3 linked regions of the Arabidopsis thaliana genome follow. The protein of the gene in region 1 purifies or fractionates together with the protein of each later gene. This does not show direct contact. Each region holds a gene or a part of one and is shown in the gene's direction. Other genes may lie near its edges.

Evidence for each region.
Region 2: the proteins of GAUT1 (region 1) and ADL6 purify together in Arabidopsis thaliana (affinity purification with mass spectrometry, with the first as the bait; one study listed by BioGRID). This does not show direct contact.
Region 3: the proteins of GAUT1 (region 1) and AT2G18330 purify together in Arabidopsis thaliana (affinity purification with mass spectrometry, with the first as the bait; one study listed by BioGRID). This does not show direct contact.

The regions. Positions count from the first base shown.
Region 1 is NC_003074.8:22,619,998-22,626,308, forward strand, and holds GAUT1 (galacturonosyltransferase 1), read left to right. Parts: upstream 1-1,914; 5' UTR 1,915-2,314; intron 2,315-2,399; 5' UTR 2,400-2,401; coding exon 2,402-2,552; intron 2,553-2,879; coding exon 2,880-2,905; intron 2,906-3,004; coding exon 3,005-3,064; intron 3,065-3,154; coding exon 3,155-3,280; intron 3,281-3,369; coding exon 3,370-3,433; intron 3,434-3,510; coding exon 3,511-3,557; intron 3,558-3,671; coding exon 3,672-4,006; intron 4,007-4,100; coding exon 4,101-4,458; intron 4,459-4,568; coding exon 4,569-5,147; intron 5,148-5,241; coding exon 5,242-5,517; 3' UTR 5,518-5,811; downstream 5,812-6,311. Other genes in the region: AGL13 (AGAMOUS-like 13), read right to left, coding at 288-469. UniProt on the Arabidopsis thaliana protein: Involved in pectin biosynthesis. Catalyzes the transfer of galacturonic acid from uridine 5'-diphosphogalacturonic acid onto the pectic polysaccharide homogalacturonan.
Region 2 is NC_003070.9:3,368,790-3,376,485, forward strand, and holds the start of ADL6 (dynamin-like protein 6), read left to right. Parts: upstream 1-1,612; 5' UTR 1,613-1,984; coding exon 1,985-2,125; intron 2,126-2,408; coding exon 2,409-2,459; intron 2,460-2,555; coding exon 2,556-2,676; intron 2,677-2,805; coding exon 2,806-2,898; intron 2,899-3,242; coding exon 3,243-3,304; intron 3,305-3,474; coding exon 3,475-3,592; intron 3,593-3,738; coding exon 3,739-4,075; intron 4,076-4,180; coding exon 4,181-4,328; intron 4,329-4,654; coding exon 4,655-4,756; intron 4,757-4,836; coding exon 4,837-4,956; intron 4,957-5,223; coding exon 5,224-5,307; intron 5,308-5,391; coding exon 5,392-5,519; intron 5,520-5,622; coding exon 5,623-5,707; intron 5,708-5,824; coding exon 5,825-5,963; intron 5,964-6,188; coding exon 6,189-6,265; intron 6,266-6,335; coding exon 6,336-6,392; intron 6,393-6,674; coding exon 6,675-6,819; intron 6,820-6,906; coding exon 6,907-7,046; intron 7,047-7,385; coding exon 7,386-7,499; intron 7,500-7,612; and 2 more. UniProt on the Arabidopsis thaliana protein: Microtubule-associated force-producing protein involved in clathrin-mediated vesicle trafficking from the trans-Golgi network to the central vacuole. Able to bind and hydrolyze GTP. Binds specifically to phosphatidylinositol 3-phosphate (PtdIns3P).
Region 3 is NC_003071.7:7,963,634-7,969,692, forward strand, and holds AT2G18330 (AAA-type ATPase family protein), read left to right. Parts: upstream 1-2,001; 5' UTR 2,002-2,195; coding exon 2,196-2,480; intron 2,481-2,574; coding exon 2,575-2,670; intron 2,671-2,935; coding exon 2,936-3,046; intron 3,047-3,145; coding exon 3,146-3,455; intron 3,456-3,698; coding exon 3,699-3,789; intron 3,790-3,907; coding exon 3,908-4,241; intron 4,242-4,356; coding exon 4,357-4,505; intron 4,506-4,747; coding exon 4,748-5,282; 3' UTR 5,283-5,475; downstream 5,476-6,059. Other genes in the region: RL4 (RAD-like 4), read left to right, coding at 845-1,078; AT2G18340 (late embryogenesis abundant domain-containing protein / LEA domain-containing protein), read left to right, coding at 5,767-5,915.

The DNA.
Region 1 (6,311 bases):
ACAAAGAAGTTTTCTTTCAAAAGATTTACCGGATCTAAAAGCTAAACTGACCCATATGTCCGATGGATCCTGAGAGATCGATGGATGGTGATCAACCTTAACTAGTTAGGGTTAGAATAAAAAGACATAACCTTTTTCAGATACCCACAAGACAGAATTTGGTTTCTTGATCTTAAGAACAGACACAAATCAAACATGGATGATCTTAATCATATTACCCATGAAAACCTAGGTTTTCATCATTAGGAAAACCGAATTAATGATCTTGAATGAATGGATATACGTACCCGACATTGCTGAACTCGTAGAGCTTGCCACCGGTGGAGAAGATTATGAGAGAAACCTCTGCATCACAAAGAACAGAGAGTTCGTAGGCTTTCTTGAGCAAACCACTTTTTCTTTTGGAGAAGGTTACTTGTCTAGTGATCTTGTTCTCAATTCTCTTCACTTCCACTTTGCCTCTTCCCATCTCTCACTCGCTCTCTCTCTTCTTTCTACGTTGTTTCTTGTCTTTAATATCTCTCAATGTTGGAAGTTTACATGTACATATCAATCAAAATGAATTACTTTAGTTCTATTGCTGGATATACGTAAAAAAAAAAAGCGTATTTATTAACCCTATAGTTTCTCTTTTTCTTATCAACCTATTTCAACCCTACATACATAGTGGAACCGAGTTTTATCTCAATAGGACAATATCTCATCATAAATTACAAAGTTCTCATTTCAATTACCATGCAAGAAGAATTCACTTTCCGTTTATTAATTATAGCTAGAGTGTAAAATGGTAATGATCTTACTGTTGTTTGACCCAAATGAAAATTCTTTTGGTATATAAAAAATTAATTGATAGGAACAAAACGAAAACTTTCTCCTACCTAGAATTAGAAGTATGGAAATACAGTTGGACCACTGGAAAAATCATCATTATTTCTTTTAATATCAGTATTTGATGACATATTGTTCAAAGTTCAAACTGGCACTCAAGAAAAATTGATATTCTTTTTTGATATGCAACAGTTGGACCAAACCTTTTTACTTAATAAAGTTTACATCTATTGTGATTCTTCAAACTAACACTTATATAAAACTGTTTTTTTTTTGTTCAATGGCTATGATTTCGTCAAGGTTAATTTGTACATGTAAACAATTAAACGTTCATCCACTAAATGTTGTTCAACCTGAACCGATGTGGAGTCAGTAAAAAACATATAAGACATCGACCCTAATGACAAAAAACAGAGTGTAACTATATTACGTGTGTGAAGTTTATTACTAGTTCGGGAAGTTTTAATTGGTCAAAAGGCGCAGGAAGGTTCATCATTTGTTGTTGAAAAGTTGCATTCCTTTTCAAAAGAAAAAAAAGTAAGGTTTTTATGAAAAAGCCTTTCAAGAGAAAACAAATTTTGGTTATATCTTATTTATATGGTTTGACAACTGAATCAAACATTTACCAAGGTTGTATTTGATCATTATTACTAAAAATAAAATCAGCTAAAAAAAAACCATTACTAGGTCTAGTTACAGTGTTACACTGTATTGTAAATCATTTAGTAATAAACCAAACAAATTACTATCATCATTTTTAATTTGTGTAGTCATTACATACATGCAAAATTGTAAATTAAATTATAAAATCATGCCATACTATACTGCTAGATGAAAATTGAATTGTCATATCAAATTAAAAATTAATGTATTTTCATGAAAACTGGAAAAAAAAAACTATTAAATTAGAAAGGCGAAATTCAACGTGACGCATCTATCTATATAGGCTTGGGCTTATAATATATACAAAAGCCCAGTTAATTATTAATGGGTCGAAGTCGAAACTTGAAAGCAAGCAGTGTCATCGTTCTATTTATCATCAGCCCAAAAAAGGAAGAAAAAACAAATCAATTTTATGTTCGTTTGGTATAATATCGATTTTAATTTTAACCAAGTAAACCGGATAGGAGGAGATTCGTAAATTGTAATCGATAAAAGAGATCTGTGTCAAAAGTACGCGTGAGGTTCTCTCTTCTCTGCAAACAAAAATCCTGGCGTTGATAGCGATTGGTTAATTGTCGGTGAATCAACGTTTTTCTGTTACACATATCAATCAATCATCATCCTCTTCATACTCTCTTCTTCTTCTTCATCGTAATCATTAGCTTCAATTCCGAGTTTTCTCTTCGTCGCCGTTGTGCTAGAGTTTTGTCAGATCTCGCCGGGAAATTAGCAATGGCGTTTTAGTCTGTTTACCTGTGAAGCTTTTGCGTAAACGCTGGATTCTTCTCAAATCTCTCTCACCTGATCTCTTATTAGATTCCGAGTATGATTTGTTTCTCTCCTTCATTATATTCGGGTTGCTTCCACGATTTCGTTGCTTGATTTAGTTTTTTTTTTGAATTTGATAGGGATGGCGCTAAAGCGAGGGCTATCTGGAGTTAACCGGATTAGAGGAAGTGGTGGTGGATCTCGATCTGTGCTTGTGCTTCTCATATTTTTCTGTGTTTTTGCACCTCTTTGCTTCTTTGTTGGCCGAGGAGTGTATATCGATTCCTCAAATGGTATGCATATATTGCTTATCTTTCTATATACTAATTTGCAGATTCATGTATAGAGATTCAGAAATTCTATTAATGATTGAGAACATTAGCATAGTTTTACCACTCTTTAGTTTTCAGCCTTTACTATCTCAATTTTAAGTTACTTTTAGCTTGATGTGACACTGATGATATTCAGACAATTGCTATTTTTCTAGACTGGCAAAATTGGTTCTTTGCTATTTTACTATCGAGCTTTGGTTTCAAGGATTAGTGTCTCTCGATTTTGTGTTACATATATAATTTATCTGCGAATTGTCCATCTGATGGAGCTTACTTTCATTACTGCAGATTATTCAATTGTTTCTGTGAAGCAGGTATGTCGGCTTAAACTCTATCAAATTATCTACTTGTATGTTTTGACAGAAGTAAGAATGTTGTTTGATTGGACTGTTTTTTTTTGTTTTTTTTGGCAGAATCTTGACTGGAGAGAACGTTTAGCAATGCAATCTGTTAGATCTCTTTTCTCGAAAGAGGTAGTTTAAATCTTTGAAACTTTGCTTCGATTTATTGTCTTTGTCAGTTTTTCTGAGACTGGATAGTTTCTTACTAAATTTGTTGTCCAGATACTAGATGTTATAGCAACCAGCACAGCTGATTTGGGTCCTCTTAGCCTTGATTCTTTTAAGAAAAACAATTTGTCTGCATCATGGCGGGGAACCGGAGTAGACCCCTCCTTTAGACATTCTGAGGTGTGGTTTAAGTGTCTCATTTCTTTTCTAAGCTTCTATTCTCAATGATGTTTTCTCATAGTTTTCATCTTTTGCTGTACTTGAGGCAGAATCCAGCAACTCCTGATGTCAAATCTAATAACCTGAATGAAAAACGTGACAGCATTTCAAAAGGTAGTGGCTTTTAATTTAAGTGGCATCTCTGATTTGACGTTTTCCATCTCTGATTCTTCTATATATTGCTGATGCAGATAGTATCCATCAGAAAGTTGAGACACCTACAAAGATTCACAGAAGGGTAACTATTATTTATTAAAGTTCAATGTCATGATGCATCAAATACTCTTTAGGGACTTCTTGTGTCTTTAGTATTTCATTATCAACATTTTTTTTATCCATCTTGACATTTCAGCAACTAAGAGAGAAAAGGCGTGAGATGCGGGCAAATGAGTTAGTTCAGCACAATGATGACACGATTTTGAAACTCGAAAATGCTGCCATTGAACGCTCTAAGTCTGTTGATTCTGCAGTCCTTGGTAAATACAGTATTTGGAGAAGAGAAAATGAGAATGACAACTCTGATTCAAATATACGCTTGATGCGGGATCAAGTAATAATGGCTAGAGTCTATAGTGGGATTGCAAAATTGAAAAACAAGAACGATTTGTTACAAGAACTCCAGGCCCGACTTAAGGACAGCCAACGGGTTTTGGGGGAAGCAACATCTGATGCTGATCTTCCTCGGAGGTAAATTACTCCTTTTGGTTTCTACTACTTGCCTTTTTTCGACTGCTTGTGTACTTCTTAAAGTAACATGCTCTCTAAATTACTTTTCATATAGTGCGCATGAGAAACTCAGAGCCATGGGTCAAGTCTTGGCTAAAGCTAAGATGCAGTTATATGACTGCAAGCTGGTTACTGGAAAGCTGAGAGCAATGCTTCAGACTGCCGACGAACAAGTGAGGAGCTTAAAGAAGCAGAGTACTTTTCTGGCTCAGTTAGCAGCAAAAACCATTCCAAATCCTATCCATTGCCTATCAATGCGCTTGACTATCGATTACTATCTTCTGTCTCCGGAGAAAAGAAAATTCCCTCGGAGTGAAAACCTAGAAAACCCTAATCTTTATCATTATGCCCTCTTTTCCGACAATGTATTAGCTGCATCAGTAGTTGTTAACTCAACCATCATGAATGCCAAGGTAAAATCATTAGCTCTTATCACTTGATTCGTCCTAATATCTGTATGTTTAATTTTAGATACGCATTGCAGAGCTGAAATTAAAAATGTCTTTATTCCCTATATGTGCAGGATCCTTCTAAGCATGTTTTTCACCTTGTCACGGATAAACTCAATTTCGGAGCAATGAACATGTGGTTCCTCCTAAACCCACCCGGAAAGGCAACCATACATGTGGAAAACGTCGATGAGTTTAAGTGGCTCAATTCATCTTACTGTCCTGTCCTTCGTCAGCTTGAATCTGCAGCAATGAGAGAGTACTATTTTAAAGCAGACCATCCAACTTCAGGCTCTTCGAATCTAAAATACAGAAACCCAAAGTATCTATCCATGTTGAATCACTTGAGATTCTACCTCCCTGAGGTTTATCCCAAGCTGAACAAAATCCTCTTCCTGGACGATGACATCATTGTTCAGAAAGACTTGACTCCACTCTGGGAAGTTAACCTGAACGGCAAAGTCAACGGTGCAGTCGAAACCTGTGGGGAAAGTTTCCACAGATTCGACAAGTATCTCAACTTTTCGAATCCTCACATTGCGAGGAACTTCAATCCAAATGCTTGTGGATGGGCTTATGGAATGAACATGTTCGACCTAAAGGAATGGAAGAAGAGAGACATCACTGGTATATACCACAAGTGGCAAAACATGGTAAATAACTCTTTAATTCTTTGCAACAAATAGTCTAATGATGGTTTATTATTTTATTTATTGTGGTTTGCTCATTTTGGCTTGTGTTGTTTAGAATGAGAACAGGACACTATGGAAGCTAGGGACATTGCCACCAGGATTAATAACATTCTACGGATTAACACATCCCTTAAACAAGGCGTGGCATGTGCTGGGACTTGGATATAACCCGAGTATCGACAAGAAGGACATTGAGAATGCAGCAGTGGTTCACTATAACGGGAACATGAAACCATGGTTGGAGTTGGCAATGTCCAAATATCGGCCGTATTGGACCAAGTACATCAAGTTTGATCACCCATATCTTCGTCGTTGCAACCTTCATGAATAAAATCAAATCTTTGTTAGATGATTTGAGGTAATTACTTCTAATGTTCTGTTGTTCCCATTCCATTGCTCTTTATTCCACACATTGTTAATTGTTTATTCATATCGTTTTTTAGTCATTCTTTTCTTCTCTTCTTCTTTCGGGTTAAAAACACTTATGTTATTTTTTGAGTTTTTCTAATGATAGTAATATGTTTCTGGAGATTCTCTTGATGGTCTTGTGAAAAAATTGAAGAACACATACTATCTCTCTATTTACTATATACTGTAAGTCAAAATAATAATCCAATTTTTTGTTGATGTGTCATTAATAAATAAATAACTATCATTAATAATTGGATTGGTTACACATTTTAAATTTTATTTATGTTTGGATATCCAATTTTTTTTTTTCCATTGCTAATTTAATTGTTATCATTATGATGTTCATATTCTTTTCTTGTATTGGATCATATTGTATATCTTTATTTTCCAATTGTAAATATTCAAAATAATATATTTTCTTGGAAAAAAATCTATTGTGGTTTCTCTTTTTTTATATAAGCAACTATTTAATGGTAATATGACATATAATAATAATTTAAAAAATTAGATAGTATTTAGATTTTAGACTATTAGTGGAAAATTTTACAAAATAAATAAATCCCAACTATGATAGAAACCCAAATTGAGTGAAAATAGAAGATGGGCTTTAAATCGGACCGACGCTTATTGCTTACTAATACAAATCGCCCTTCCTTAAGGTCTGAAGACGAAACGAAGAACAAACACTGAAACAAAAGAGAAAAATCCCAAAGC
Region 2 (7,696 bases), on another chromosome or scaffold:
CTCTGTTCCCCAAAAATAAAGTTTCAGGGAAACATTCTTATGATTCAAAGAGAATCTGATTGTTTCAAGCACAAATCCATTGCATTCAATCTCCTCGAGAAATTTCCTAAATTTGTAACATATAATTAAATCCAAGGATCAAACGAAATCGAAAAAGGTAAGTGGATAAATGGAAATTGGATCTGTGGAAATCTTCGAGGAAAGTGAGAAACGATGACTGAAACAGATCAGAAACTGAATTTCATGCAGAGAGGAAGAAGAAGAAGAAGAAACATAAACAAATCTGGTCTTTTGTTTCTTCCAGTTGAAATCTATGTGTGTGTGTGGTTGATTTTGATCTTATATATATAAAAGAACAAAATTAATTGGAATGTTATGCTTAATTTAATTAGATTAATTGAGTTTAAAACTCCACGTCGAAAAGCATAACGAGTTCAAAGTCCGCAGATCTTGCCAGATGGGAATAATCTATTGGTTTTAAGTTATTGGGCCGGAGGGCCCACGTTTAATTGTGACGTGGTTTAGTGCTCGTCAACTCTTTGGTCCGACATTTCACTTTTTTTTTTATAGAAATAATTCTAGATATCCAGTAGTCAAACTTATTGATTATCTAATTTCTATATCCTTACTATTTTTAAAAAAATTACTTTTAACATTTCTAGAATTTTTCGATTTTTTCTGTACTTATTAACTATTAGTAAAATTTATTGATGCTTCTTTTGGTTATGTTATAGTATTGAGACAATGTATTGTATTCTAATTTTGATTTTTTTTTTCCTTTTTAATGATTTGTAGATTTTGTTTTTTCATTATTATATTTGAAAAAATATCTTCTTATATCTTAATCACCAGAAAATCTAAAACCGATGGCTATACTAATTTCCGGAATATATGAAATGTTTATTTTTCTATTAAGGATCCAAAGCAGCTAATTAAGATTAAAAACTTGGGAAGAACTAGTATCCCAAACAAACAATATGATATCCAGATGTCCAAAAGGAAAAAGAAATGGTATCAAAAGAACCAAGAAATGTGCCTAGAAATTTCATATAGTTAGCTTGGAAATTTCTGATTTTTATGTCCAATGTTTATTTATTTTTTCCTTATAATTATACTTGTCATACATCACAAAGAATTGTCAACATTGCCAAACTAGTCCTAAGATGTTGGAAGGTATGATGATAGACAACAGTTCTAAAGAAGGGAAGATGAGATTCAGGCAACAAAAAACACATATAGTTCAAAAAAATTAGGTTGGTAGGATCAATTATTCAAAAAACATACACCAAATAGATTTTAGTAGGGGTTGTTTGTCCAAAAAAAAACTATAATAGTTTACGAAAATAGTTACACCTTGTGAATAGATTTTTTGTTTGCCTTCCCTTGAGGTAAATTATGTCGCGAGAACTATATGAACAACAACGAGATCCACAACAACATTTGATTACATTTTTATTTGAACCTTCACATTGATTTAGTAATGTGGGATTCCAACATCATCTAATGTTATATGAATGGATCTAATAGATGATAAATTGTTAAATGAACTGATAATTTTTTTTTATTTTTTTATGTGTATTTCACATCACATTGTTTTTTTTTTTTTTTTTTTAAGTAAGAAAAAGAAGAAGCACTTGAGACCGATCAGAAAAAAATTAGAAAGATATGATTTTTGTAAGTCTTTTGAAATTTGAATCTTGTCCCGTGTAATTGTGAAATCTTACGTACGTCCTCTTTATGACCTCGTCTTCGCTCATTTCTGCCTTCCCTTACGAAATCCCCAACGAAAAATCTTAGCTTAACACCATCGCGACCGGATTCCAAATTCCGGCCCATCGTCTCACCGGGAAAGACCCCGCCTATTGCCGCCGATTTCGGTTCCGGTCTGCTCAGATCTAATCGAGTGGCTTCCTTCTTCCTCCAGATCTCTTCACTTTGAATCGGTTACTCGATCTCGATTCGCGGAGGGCTTTTGCTAGTCGCGATGGAGGCGATCGATGAGTTGTCTCAGCTCTCAGATTCGATGAAGCAGGCGGCGTCTCTCCTCGCCGACGAAGATCCCGACGAAACCTCTTCTTCCAAGCGCCCTGCCACTTTCCTCAACGTCGTTGCCTTGGGAAATGTGGTGAGTTCCTCGCTCTCACTCCACGCTCCTCGATTTTCCTCTCTTTAGGCTCGTGCTGGTTTTATTCTGTGTTCGAGTGTATGTTGGATTGCCATATCGTGGATCTTCTGGATCTAGATTAGGTTTTTATCGAATTTTGCTAGGACACACTCATCGTTTATAGCTAGTTTTGTTGGGATTCTCTTTATTAGTGGATATATGGTTACATGAGGAGCGACTCGTGCCGGAGAAGGCTGATGTATTTTGTTATTTGTTACTTATCTCTTTTTGCATACTGAACCAGGGAGCTGGAAAGTCTGCAGTTCTAAACAGTCTAATTGGGCATCCAGTGCTGGTAAGTTGTACATTGAGTCTATGGTTATTATTGGCTTACTCCTTTTCTTATACTAATACTGACCTCTGTTGTGTCTGCTACACTTACTATACACAGCCGACGGGTGAGAATGGTGCTACACGAGCTCCTATAATAATTGAATTGAGCAGGGAGAGTTCTTTGAGCAGCAAGGCAATTATCTTGCAAATCGACAATAAATCTCAACAAGTTTCTGCAAGTAAGTCTCTATCTATGAACATATGCAATTTAGCAATGCTATGTGAGGCTCTTTCTGCATTTATGATAAAAAAATTTCGATCAGTCTTCTCATAATATCTCCATTGTGTTCTACATGGGTATATTTTAGGTGCTTTGAGACATTCTCTGCAAGATAGACTTAGCAAAGGAGCCTCAGGGAAGAATCGTGATGAAATAAACTTAAAACTTCGTACCAGCACAGGTAAGCCCCTTTTTACTTGCACAATCATAAGTGGCAAGCCTATATCTACTCTTCAAATAGCACATCCTTAGCTAACCTAAGTTGGGTGTATGAATTTATCTTTGATACCCGTGAACTGGTCAGCTGTAATATCTTGCTATCCTTATATACTATCTAGTACACTAGTTTAGAGCTTCTAGCTTTACTTTGGTGGGTATCAGATTAAATATCTAACGGAGCTTTAACATAAACAGTACACACTCTTTTGAACATGAGTTATGACATATGACATATGACCGACAGTTTCGTAGTATTAAATTTTCTTTGACCATCATAACCTGTTACGTTTACCCTTTACATTGCAGCTCCACCATTGAAATTAGTTGATCTGCCTGGACTGGACCAGAGAATTGTGGACGAGTCAATGGTGAGGCTTGGAACTACTTAATGCCATTGTCATATCCTTAACTTGCCTGACAACCACGAAACAAAAGATTTTGACTATTTTTATCGGTTTCCTACTGAAGTGATAATATAGATTCATTATCATGTTTATCCTTTTGAAATTGTTGTTTGTTTCTTGGGTCTCTTTGCAAGATTGCTGAATACGCGCAACACAATGATGCCATACTGCTGGTTATAGTGCCTGCTAGCCAGGCATCTGAAATTTCATCATCCCGAGCCCTGAAGATTGCAAAGGAGTATGATCCAGAGAGTGAGTACATCTGTATTTCCGATCTGTCTTATCTTAATATTGTTTATTATTTGTATACCTGATAAGAACTGTTGATTTACCTACCTATTATCACTTCAGTTTGCTTAAAATACTCATTAGCTAACATCACTCCTCCCTACTTATAGGTACTAGGACAATAGGCATTATTGGAAAAATTGACCAGGCAGCAGAGAACTCGAAAGCCCTTGCAGCTGTTCAGGCTCTTCTTTCAAATCAAGGACCTCCAAAAACAACTGACATTCCATGGGTTGCTGTTATTGGCCAATCCGTTTCAATTGCGTCAGCACAGTCTGGAAGTGGTGAGAACTCCTTAGAAACTGCTTGGCGTGCTGAGAGTGAAAGTCTTAAGTCCATTTTGACTGGGGCTCCACAAAGCAAGCTTGGCAGAATTGCGTTGGTGGATACCCTTGCTAGCCAGATTCGTAGCAGAATGAAGCTCAGGCTTCCAAGTGTCCTGTCTGGGTATTGCTTCTCTCCATATATGTGCTTTCTTCATGATTTTTATTATGGTGTTGGCATATGACATTGGTTGCTTGAACGCATATGGCTTTCAAATTCTTTGTACAGGCTCCAGGGTAAGTCTCAAATAGTGCAGGATGAGCTAGCGAGGCTTGGTGAACAACTAGTTAACAGTGCTGAAGGTACAAGGGCTATAGCTTTGGAGCTTTGCCGTGAGTTTGAAGACAAGTTTCTTCTGCACTTGGCTGGTGGTGAAGTAAGTACATTCTTACAAAAGTTAACTAGATTTAGTCGAAAATTCAAGAATATAGTGAGAGAGAAGAACTCTTCAAATATTAGCAATCAGCCATTTCAGATTTGGTACTAGTGTAGTGGAAAGTCTCTTGCTAGCCTACGCTTGGTAAGAGCACATTATATTGTTGGGAATCTCATGAATCTGATAGTGGATGTTTATAATATGTGTATAAGCCAACTGAGTGTTTGATATAGAGTTTTTGTACTTGTCTGTGTTCAGTTTATGGGCTGAAGTCCCTTTTGGAGCTTGGCAAATGTTTTTCTCAAAACTTTTTGATTCTTGTTCAGGGAAGTGGTTGGAAAGTTGTTGCAAGTTTTGAAGGAAATTTCCCCAACCGTATCAAGCAGCTTCCATTGGATAGACATTTTGACCTGAACAATGTTAAAAGGGTGGGTGTCTTCTTCTGTCCTAAGTTTCTGCACGAGACAAGTTTTGAGACTTGATTTGTCAAAATATCTTTGATTTTCAGGTTGTTTTGGAGGCAGATGGTTATCAACCTTATCTTATATCTCCAGAGAAAGGGTTGAGATCGTTGATAAAGATTGTCCTTGAGTTGGCTAAAGACCCGGCACGCCTTTGTGTTGATGAGGTGTGCTTGTTTACATGTTTTTTTAGGTACATGCAGTAGGATTGAATTTTAGAAATTTACTGCATTGTGAACTGGCTATGGCTTGTCTCACTTTAATTCTTCGAACTGTTATTTAGAGTTCTGTCAAGTTTTCTGGTTTATAAGCCTTAGTAAGTTAATATCCCTTACCGTAGATGTAGCTATTTTTTGGTTCCTACTTTAAAACTCATGCATCCAGCTTCTGTCTTATTTACGTGTTGAGCTAACATGGTCTTAACTTTTGATTAGGTTCACCGAGTTCTTGTTGACATAGTTTCAGCTTCTGCAAATGCTACACCTGGACTTGGGAGATATCCTCCTTTCAAGCGAGAGGTAATAATGATTTTTTGGTGCTTTATTCAGTAATATTTTATCATTTCGGTAACAGTTATTCCTTTCTGACTAATCATCAACCAGGTTGTAGCTATAGCAAGTGCAGCACTTGATGGTTTCAAGAATGAAGCCAAGAAAATGGTGGTTGCACTAGTTGATATGGAACGCGCTTTTGTACCACCTCAACATTTTATCCGTCTTGTGCAAAGGAGGTATTTTGGCTTGTCTTTCTTTGCAATTTTTGTTTTTATTTTCAATGGTTCATGACTGAAAATTATTTCTCTTTCTGACGATGCACTGTATTGACTCCATCAGAATGGAAAGACAACGTCGCGAGGAAGAGCTGAAAGGGCGATCTTCTAAGAAGGGACAAGATGCAGAGCAGTCCCTTTTAAGCAGGGTGTGTGTTCATTCTGTATCAATTTGGATATACGTAGTGAAAAATGTTTTTTTTTTTTTTTTATCGTTTTACATGAAAATATATAATGTGGAAATTCTCTACATATATGTTTATCAGGCTACTAGTCCTCAGCCAGATGGGCCAACAGCTGGTGGTAGCTTAAAATCAATGAAAGACAAACCTAGTCCGCAAGATAAAGAGACGCCGGAGGTCTCTGGTCTGAAAACTGCTGGACCTGAGGGGGAGATAACAGCAGGTTGTTATTCTAATATACATCTACCCAGTTACTGTCTAAAAAGTTTCATTCTGCTTTTTCACTCCCGATTTGCTTTCCTTACGTTGCATGATTTTATTGCTGCAAAGCTTTGCTCTTAGTCCAAGTGCATGATTTCTTCATGTCTTTTTCTTCTTTATCACTTAAAACTAACTTGACAAAACTAACTTCCAAGGTAGATAACAAATACTTACTCTTTTCATTTAGGGTACTTAATGAAGAAAAGTGCAAAAACAAATGGGTGGAGTAGGCGATGGTTTGTTCTGAATGAGAAAACTGGAAAGGTCAGCATTTTGAAACGTATATTCTTCAGTTGTTGAGAACTTACTGACTTTACTGTTTACCTTTTTCTAGCTTGGCTATACCAAAAAGCAAGAAGAAAGAAACTTTCGGGGCACGATAACTTTGGAGGTACCATTCTCTTCCTATGCTTTATTTTCTGCCAAAGGTGAACTATAATTAGATATGACATGGAAAAAAGAATTAGAGAAGAATATAGTTCGTATTCACCTTGTTATTTTCTCCCACACTGTTTCCTTCTTGGAGAGTGACAATTACTTGTGTATTTTGAAGCTTATGCTTCAAATATTTAATAGTTCTGTTATTATCGATGAGAAATTTGGATACTCTATAGATAACATTTTTTCCATGTTTTTCTAATTATACTTCCTCCAACTTTATTAATCCACTCAGGAATGCACTATTGAAGAAATCCCCGAGGACGAAGTAGAAAAGTCAAAGAGCTCGAAGGACAAGAAGGCAAATGGACCTGATTCAAAAGGACCAGGCCTTGTGTTTAAAATAACCTGCAAGGTTCCCTATAAGACTGTACTCAAAGGTACATAAATCAATCATTATAAGAATTCAAACTTCTTAATCTTCTATTCGCACTTTTATGAGTTTTCCTCAAACTATTATGTTGCAGCTCACAATGCCCTTGTGCTTAAGGCTGAGAGTGTAGTCGACAAGAACGAGTGGATTAATAAGTTGCAAAAGGTTATCCAGGCTCGTGGAGGCCAAGTGGGCAGTGTTTCCATGAGGCAGAGTCTTTCAGAAGGTTCACTTGTGAGTCACTCATGGGCAGCTTTTCTTACATTTCCTCTTCCTTAAATCTATGTTAGATACGTTCACTAGTCTTATGGATTACTTATTATCACTATGAAGAAAGTTTGAAACTTCACTTCGGAAGGTTTGAAACTGTTGGAAGAGCAAACAAAGCTATTTATGTTTTATTGAACATTGTCGAATTTTTATTATTGAAACATTTTTCCTATAGAAGGCTCAGTTTATGGGGTATGCATGATACTACTTTTAAACTTGACATAAGTTATGTTTGACATTTAAGGTTTTTATTGTTTATAATATTTTCTGAGACTTACGTTTTTTTCCTTGTCTGTATTTCAGGATAAGATGGTTAGGAAACCCATCGATCCAGAAGAGGAGCTCCGGTGGATGTCCCAAGAAGTACGGGGTTACGTTGAAGCTGTTCTTAACAGCCTTGCAGCCAATGTTCCAAAGGTGAACTATCCTTATGCAAAAGCTCGAAAGCTCTAAATTTTCTTGTCCATCTCTTTTCTCTTACAGAGATTCCTCGGTCATGCTACTAAGCGATGTGAATTGACCATGAACAGGCTGTTGTTCTTTGTCAAGTAGAGAAAGCAAAGGAAGACATGCTGAATCAACTCTACAGTTCTATAAGGTTCAATATCTTTTCG
Region 3 (6,059 bases), on another chromosome or scaffold:
ATTTCAGTAAATATAAGATTACCTGAAGTTGCTCTTTTTTTATTTATTGAATACCATGAGGTTTTAAGCCGAAACCCGTAATTCTCCAAAGCCCGAAATCACATCATGTAATATTAGTTTCATCTCAAACGTCACTCGAACCGGCGACCTCTAAGCATGTAAATTGCTTAACGATCTTTGGAGCCAAGAATGGCAAAATCACAATCCCACAATGGAAACAATATAAAAGTTAACTAAGCTAATCCAACAATGCAAAGAGGAACTCTATAGAGATTATATTATTTTCAATCATACAAGAAAAAAAAATTGCAAAAAATATTAAACACAAGCTTAACAATCACATGCTTTATGAATAGTATCGGATACGATAGGGGGTTAATTCGACACTAATGATGATGATAAGATCCAAAATGCTGAAAGAGGTAAGGGAGGGTCCAATAGTTATTGGTAAACTTTACGGACACTAGCAAGAAAAAGGAAGCCTCCTAATTTCCTTATAGCAATGGTCAAGAGAATCTCATTCCACTAAAACTATTAAACCTTTATTATGTCCTTTAAGGGACTAGACTCTAATGATCATTATCATATCAAAGCTTCTATCAAAACTTTTGTCCCTTCACTAAAATTTTATGTGGTAGCTAAAAGAATGGTCATTCTAAAAATCTCTCATTTCAAAGTATATATTCTTCCAACTGGCTTATAACCCCACACATTGCTTTTCTCCTCCTACATATAAGGAGCTCCACACTCCCTCAAACTAAACCAATTCAAGTCATCTCTATCCGTCAACAATACAAACCAACCTTCTCAATTCCTCTCTTTTCATCCACATTTTCACTAGCTAATGGCTTCTAGTTCAATGAGCACCTCATCATGGACAGCTAGAGAGGACAAGCAATTCGAAATGGCGTTGGCGAAATTCGACAAGGACACTCCTGACCGTTGGCAAAAAATTGCAAGGGCAGTTGGTGGGAAATCAACTGAAGAAGTAAAGCGACACTATGAATTGCTCCTTAGGGATGTGAATGACATTGAGTCAGGACGCTATCCACAACCTAGGTACCGTAACACTAATTGAAGCCATTAATAAAATGCCTTTCTATCAAGAAGAGGACATTTGAGAGAATCTATAAAGAACTAAGAATTTCGATGTATTTCTTATATTCTATTTGCTTTCTTTTTTTGTTTTTTTTTTTAATTTCTGTTTGGTTTTCAGATATATAATAATCTCTCTCAATATCCATCCTATTCTAATCCAATCAATTTAAGTTCATATAGTAACAGTCTCGGAACATTCTATCAGTTTTATGGATTAAGCATACGAAAAATCAGAAATCATCGAGATTTGATCGATCAAACTTCGTATAAGTCGAAGTCATTATTATTTATTTATGATAAATTATAAATCGAAGTTGATAGAGAAAAGCAAGACTTATTTTTGCACTATAAACCAACATCAATGCGTAGCATGAGATCAATAAACATAATCTTCACACTGAAATCGAAGGATTCACGAAACAAAATTATTGATGTTCAATGAAAGAGGAGAAGATGAATGTTTCGAAGTTCGGTAACGGAGTAATTATGACTGCTAATATCCTTCGGGTTACCGTGAACTACACGTTATGTAAGCAAATTTTGGGCGGGAACTTTTACACTCTTTTGTTTCTTAATATACACATTTATTTTTAAAATATTTCAGTTGTTGAAAATTAACTAATACACTACAAGCTCAAATATTTATATATTTCTCTATATAGAAATAAATTTATGGACAAAAAAACGAAAATATGCTTAAACGTAAAACTAATATAAACGATATTATTAAACACAATTTGTATAGGGGAAAAAAAAACGATCAAAGATTCAATTCTCCTGTCAAAGGATCAAATGTGAAAAATGGCCTTACAAATGGGCTAAAATATGGGCCTATATTTAATTTTTGGCCCATATCTGGATTCGAGTAGTCTCCAAACAACCGATGTGTCATACATAGCTCACAAGTCAGTCATAACTCATAACCTAGCCACCGTGGGTTTATGCTCGGGCCTACCGGAGAGACATTTCCGACGACTGTGCACAATCATTTCTATTAACCTTGAGAGTACCATTTTCTCATTCCGAAATGTTTGAATTGTAAAAGGACTTTTGTTTCTTGCTTGGGGTTTAGGAGGCTGCTTTTTAGTCGTATTTCAATGGCTGCTTCTAGATTATGTTCCGCGGCGGCGATAGCTGCTGCGTTCACTTCAATGTCGATGTCACAGAACCGCGCTTACGCTGACTCGCGATTTCGCTTTCCTTTCTTCTCTTCTTCACCTCCGGCAGAAGAATCTCCAACCGATCATAAGTCTTCTTCGAATTCTAAATCGGAGACTAAACCTGACTCCGATGAGCCTAAAGGATCTGGTTTCGATCCTGAGTCATTGGAAAGAGGTGCTAAAGCTCTTCGTGAAATCAATAGCTCTCCTCATTCCAAACAGGTGATAATTGAATCTCTTTCGAGAAATCAACAAGCTCTAGAGTCGTTGATTCTTGTGTTTTGAGACGTTGCTTACATGTTATTGTGTTCACCAGGTGTTTGATCTAATGCGAAAGCAGGAGAAGACTCGATTAGCTGAATTAGCGGCTGAGAAAGAACATAATGAAGCTATTCAAGCTAGCAAGGACATTGTTAGTAACTTGCTCTTCCTTATGTTATATATTGAAAATTTGAGCATGGAGGTTTTGATATGATGTTCCATTGCATTGTCTTTCAAGTTACATTCTCTAAATCTTATTAGGATGTTGGAATCAACTGTCTTTTCGGTGTCTTTGTTGTTTCCTGCTTCAAAGTTTTGCTGAACATTCGTTGCAGAATCTGAAATTTATTATGTTGTAACATTTTAAGTCTGGGAAGCGACAAATATGATTGTTTTATGGGGCTTTGAATGAGCAGGAAAGACAGCGGAAATTGGCAGAGGATCAGAGAAATTTAGTGCAGCAACAGGCCCAAGCGAAAGCGCAAAATCTTAGATATGAGGATGAGTTGGCCAGGAAGAGAATGCAGGTACATTTTTAGAAAGAAACTGTGAACCTATGTGTAACATTTTAAGGTCTTGTGAGGGTTCTTTACTGAGAAGAAGTCTTTGACTTGGAAATTTTGCAGACAGATAATGAAGCTCAGAGACGGCATAATGCTGAATTGGTTTCGATGCAAGAAGCATCTTCTATACGGAAAGAGAAAGCAAGAATTGCCACGGAAGAACAGATTCAAGCACAGCAGCGCGAGACTGAGAAAGAGAGAGCGGAACTTGAGCGAGAAACAATTCGCGTGAAAGCTATGGCTGAGGCTGAAGGCCGAGCTCATGAAGCTAAACTCACTGAGGAGCAGAATAGAAGAATGCTTCTAGATAAGATAAATGGTGAAAGGGAGAAATGGCTTGCAGCAATCAACACGACTTTCAGTCACATTGAAGGTATGGAACTTATAAGCATTGTCCCTTAGATATACACATCTTGTTATACTTAGATTCCCTCAGTTTCTAGTTTCTTTTATATCTGTGGTTCTCCTTGGATTTTTCTGAAATTAAGCAACCTTCTGAGGAATATTTGAGAAGACAATCACCTGGCCAATTATGATTCTCTTCTCTAGGAAGTTATATGCTTCTGATATTTTGGAAATGTGGCTTCATATTCACTTCCCTATATGATCTTGGCAGGAGGAGTAAGGACCTTATTAACTGATCGAAGTAAATTGATTATGACTGTTGGAGGAGTTACGGCATTAGCCGCTGGGGTTTACACAACTCGGTATGCATTGCTTAACATGATTTAAGAAGCCTAACATAAGTAAATTGATTATTATCGCATTTTTAAAACTTATACAGCTGTGATTTAAGAAGCCTAATCGTTCTTTTCTTGACAACAGAGAAGGTGCTAGGGTTACCTGGGGTTATATCAATAGAATTCTTGGGCAGCCATCACTGATCAGAGAATCTTCCATGGGCCGATTCCCATGGGCAGGCTCAGTGTCTCAGTTTAAGAACAAACTTAGCACAGCTGCAGGGGCAGCAGCATCTGCAGAAGGAGAAAAGCCTCTTGAAAATGTAATTCTCCATCGTTCTTTGAAGACGAGAATTGAGCGTCTTGCAAGAGCCACAGCAAATACCAAGTCACATAAAGCACCATTCCGAAACATGATGTTTTATGGGCCTCCAGGTACCGGAAAAACTATGGTGGCGAGGGAGATTGCTCGGAAGTCGGTGAGTTTGTTTTCTTTATGCAACAGAGAACCTGAGCCAAGTTCAGGAATCTACAATAGATTGAACCATTACATGCCTCACTTATTTACATCTGTTTGATTATTTCGTTCTGCAGGGTCTTGATTATGCTATGATGACAGGAGGAGATGTTGCTCCTCTTGGTGCACAGGCTGTTACAAAGATCCATGAAATATTTGATTGGGCTAAGAAATCAAACAAAGGGTTACTGCTTTTCATCGATGAAGCTGATGCTTTCCTATGCGAGTAAGATGCTTTCACCTTTTACCTCAAGCCTTCAGTTATATTACTGATTCTCATCTACTAGACCTCTAAAATATAGAATATAGTTGAACAAAAATTTCTTGTATTCTGATTGCAAACACAATTCCACAATGTAGTATAGTCGCAGTAGGATCAGTGGATTGTTCTTGCGCATTGTTACTTCTACTGTATCTCCAGAGTTCTCTTGTCTTAATAGTTATCAAATTCTTGATCTTTTATCACAGACGTAACAGCACTTACATGAGTGAGGCTCAGCGCAGCGCTCTGAACGCGTTGCTCTTTCGAACCGGTGATCAATCGCGGGACATAGTCCTTGTCCTGGCTACAAACAGACCTGGAGATCTCGACAGTGCAGTCACTGACAGGATCGACGAAGTTATCGAGTTTCCTCTCCCTGGTGAAGAAGAACGCTTCAAGCTCCTCAAGCTCTATCTCAACAAGTACCTAATGGGTGACGACAAGAAAGGTGAGAAAGACTCAAACCTTAAATGGAGCAACTTGTTCAAGAAGAAGAAGTCACAGAAGATAACCATTGAAGGAGACCTAACCGACCAAGTGATTAAAGAAGCTGCAAAAAAGACAGAAGGCTTTTCTGGTCGTGAAATCGCTAAGCTTGTCGCCGGTGTTCAAGCTGCGGTATATGGACGACAGGATTGTGTCTTGGATTCCCAACTTTTTGAAGAAATTGTGGATTATAAGATCGAAGAACATCACCAGAGAATCAGACTTGCGACTGAAGGTGGCCAATCGTTTCCGTAGATCTTTTTGTATCACCGAATCACTCCGTTGTTTCGATTCTATTAAACTGAAATAGTAACATTGTTTGAGTAACCGGTTCAATTTCGGTTAGCTGGAATTTGGTCCAATTTTTATCGTAGGTTTCCCGGTTATACAAACCGCTTCAGACACATGTGATGTGACCTCTCTAATCTTATTGCTTTCAAGTTTCAAAGTGTGGTCTCTGAGGGGAACACGGCCAGCCGTATAATAGGACACGTGGTGAATACTCAGAGAAAGCTCCACAACCAAACCGCATCCTTGGTTGCCACGTAACCTCGTGCAAACACGTGGCGAACAGTAACCGCTTCTCGGAAAGACCTCTGGTCTTTGGATTCGAACGTCTCTCTATAACTATAACTTCCGAGGACATTGGAACTAGGATCAAAACTTTTTAAAAAGGGACAAAACTAAATTGGTCATAGCAAATTCAAAGAAGTTTGATTCGGAATCACTGGTTAAAGAGATGATGGAGAGAAGAAGAACGGCATTGGTATTGTTTGTGGTAGTGGTGGTGTTGACGTGGCAAGAGGGTGTATTGGGGAAATGGTTAGAGTCGACGGCGAAGGAAAAGACCGGTTCATGGGCTGGTTGGGTCTCCGACAAAATCACCACGTAAGTGATATCTAATATCCGAAACTGAAACACACCTGTGGTTGAATCTGTCCTTTACGTAACCATCACGTTGATCCAATTCAGTCTATACTTTCTCTCATTTGGATGTTAAGTACGTGTTTAGTGAGATTAGTAATGTCTTAT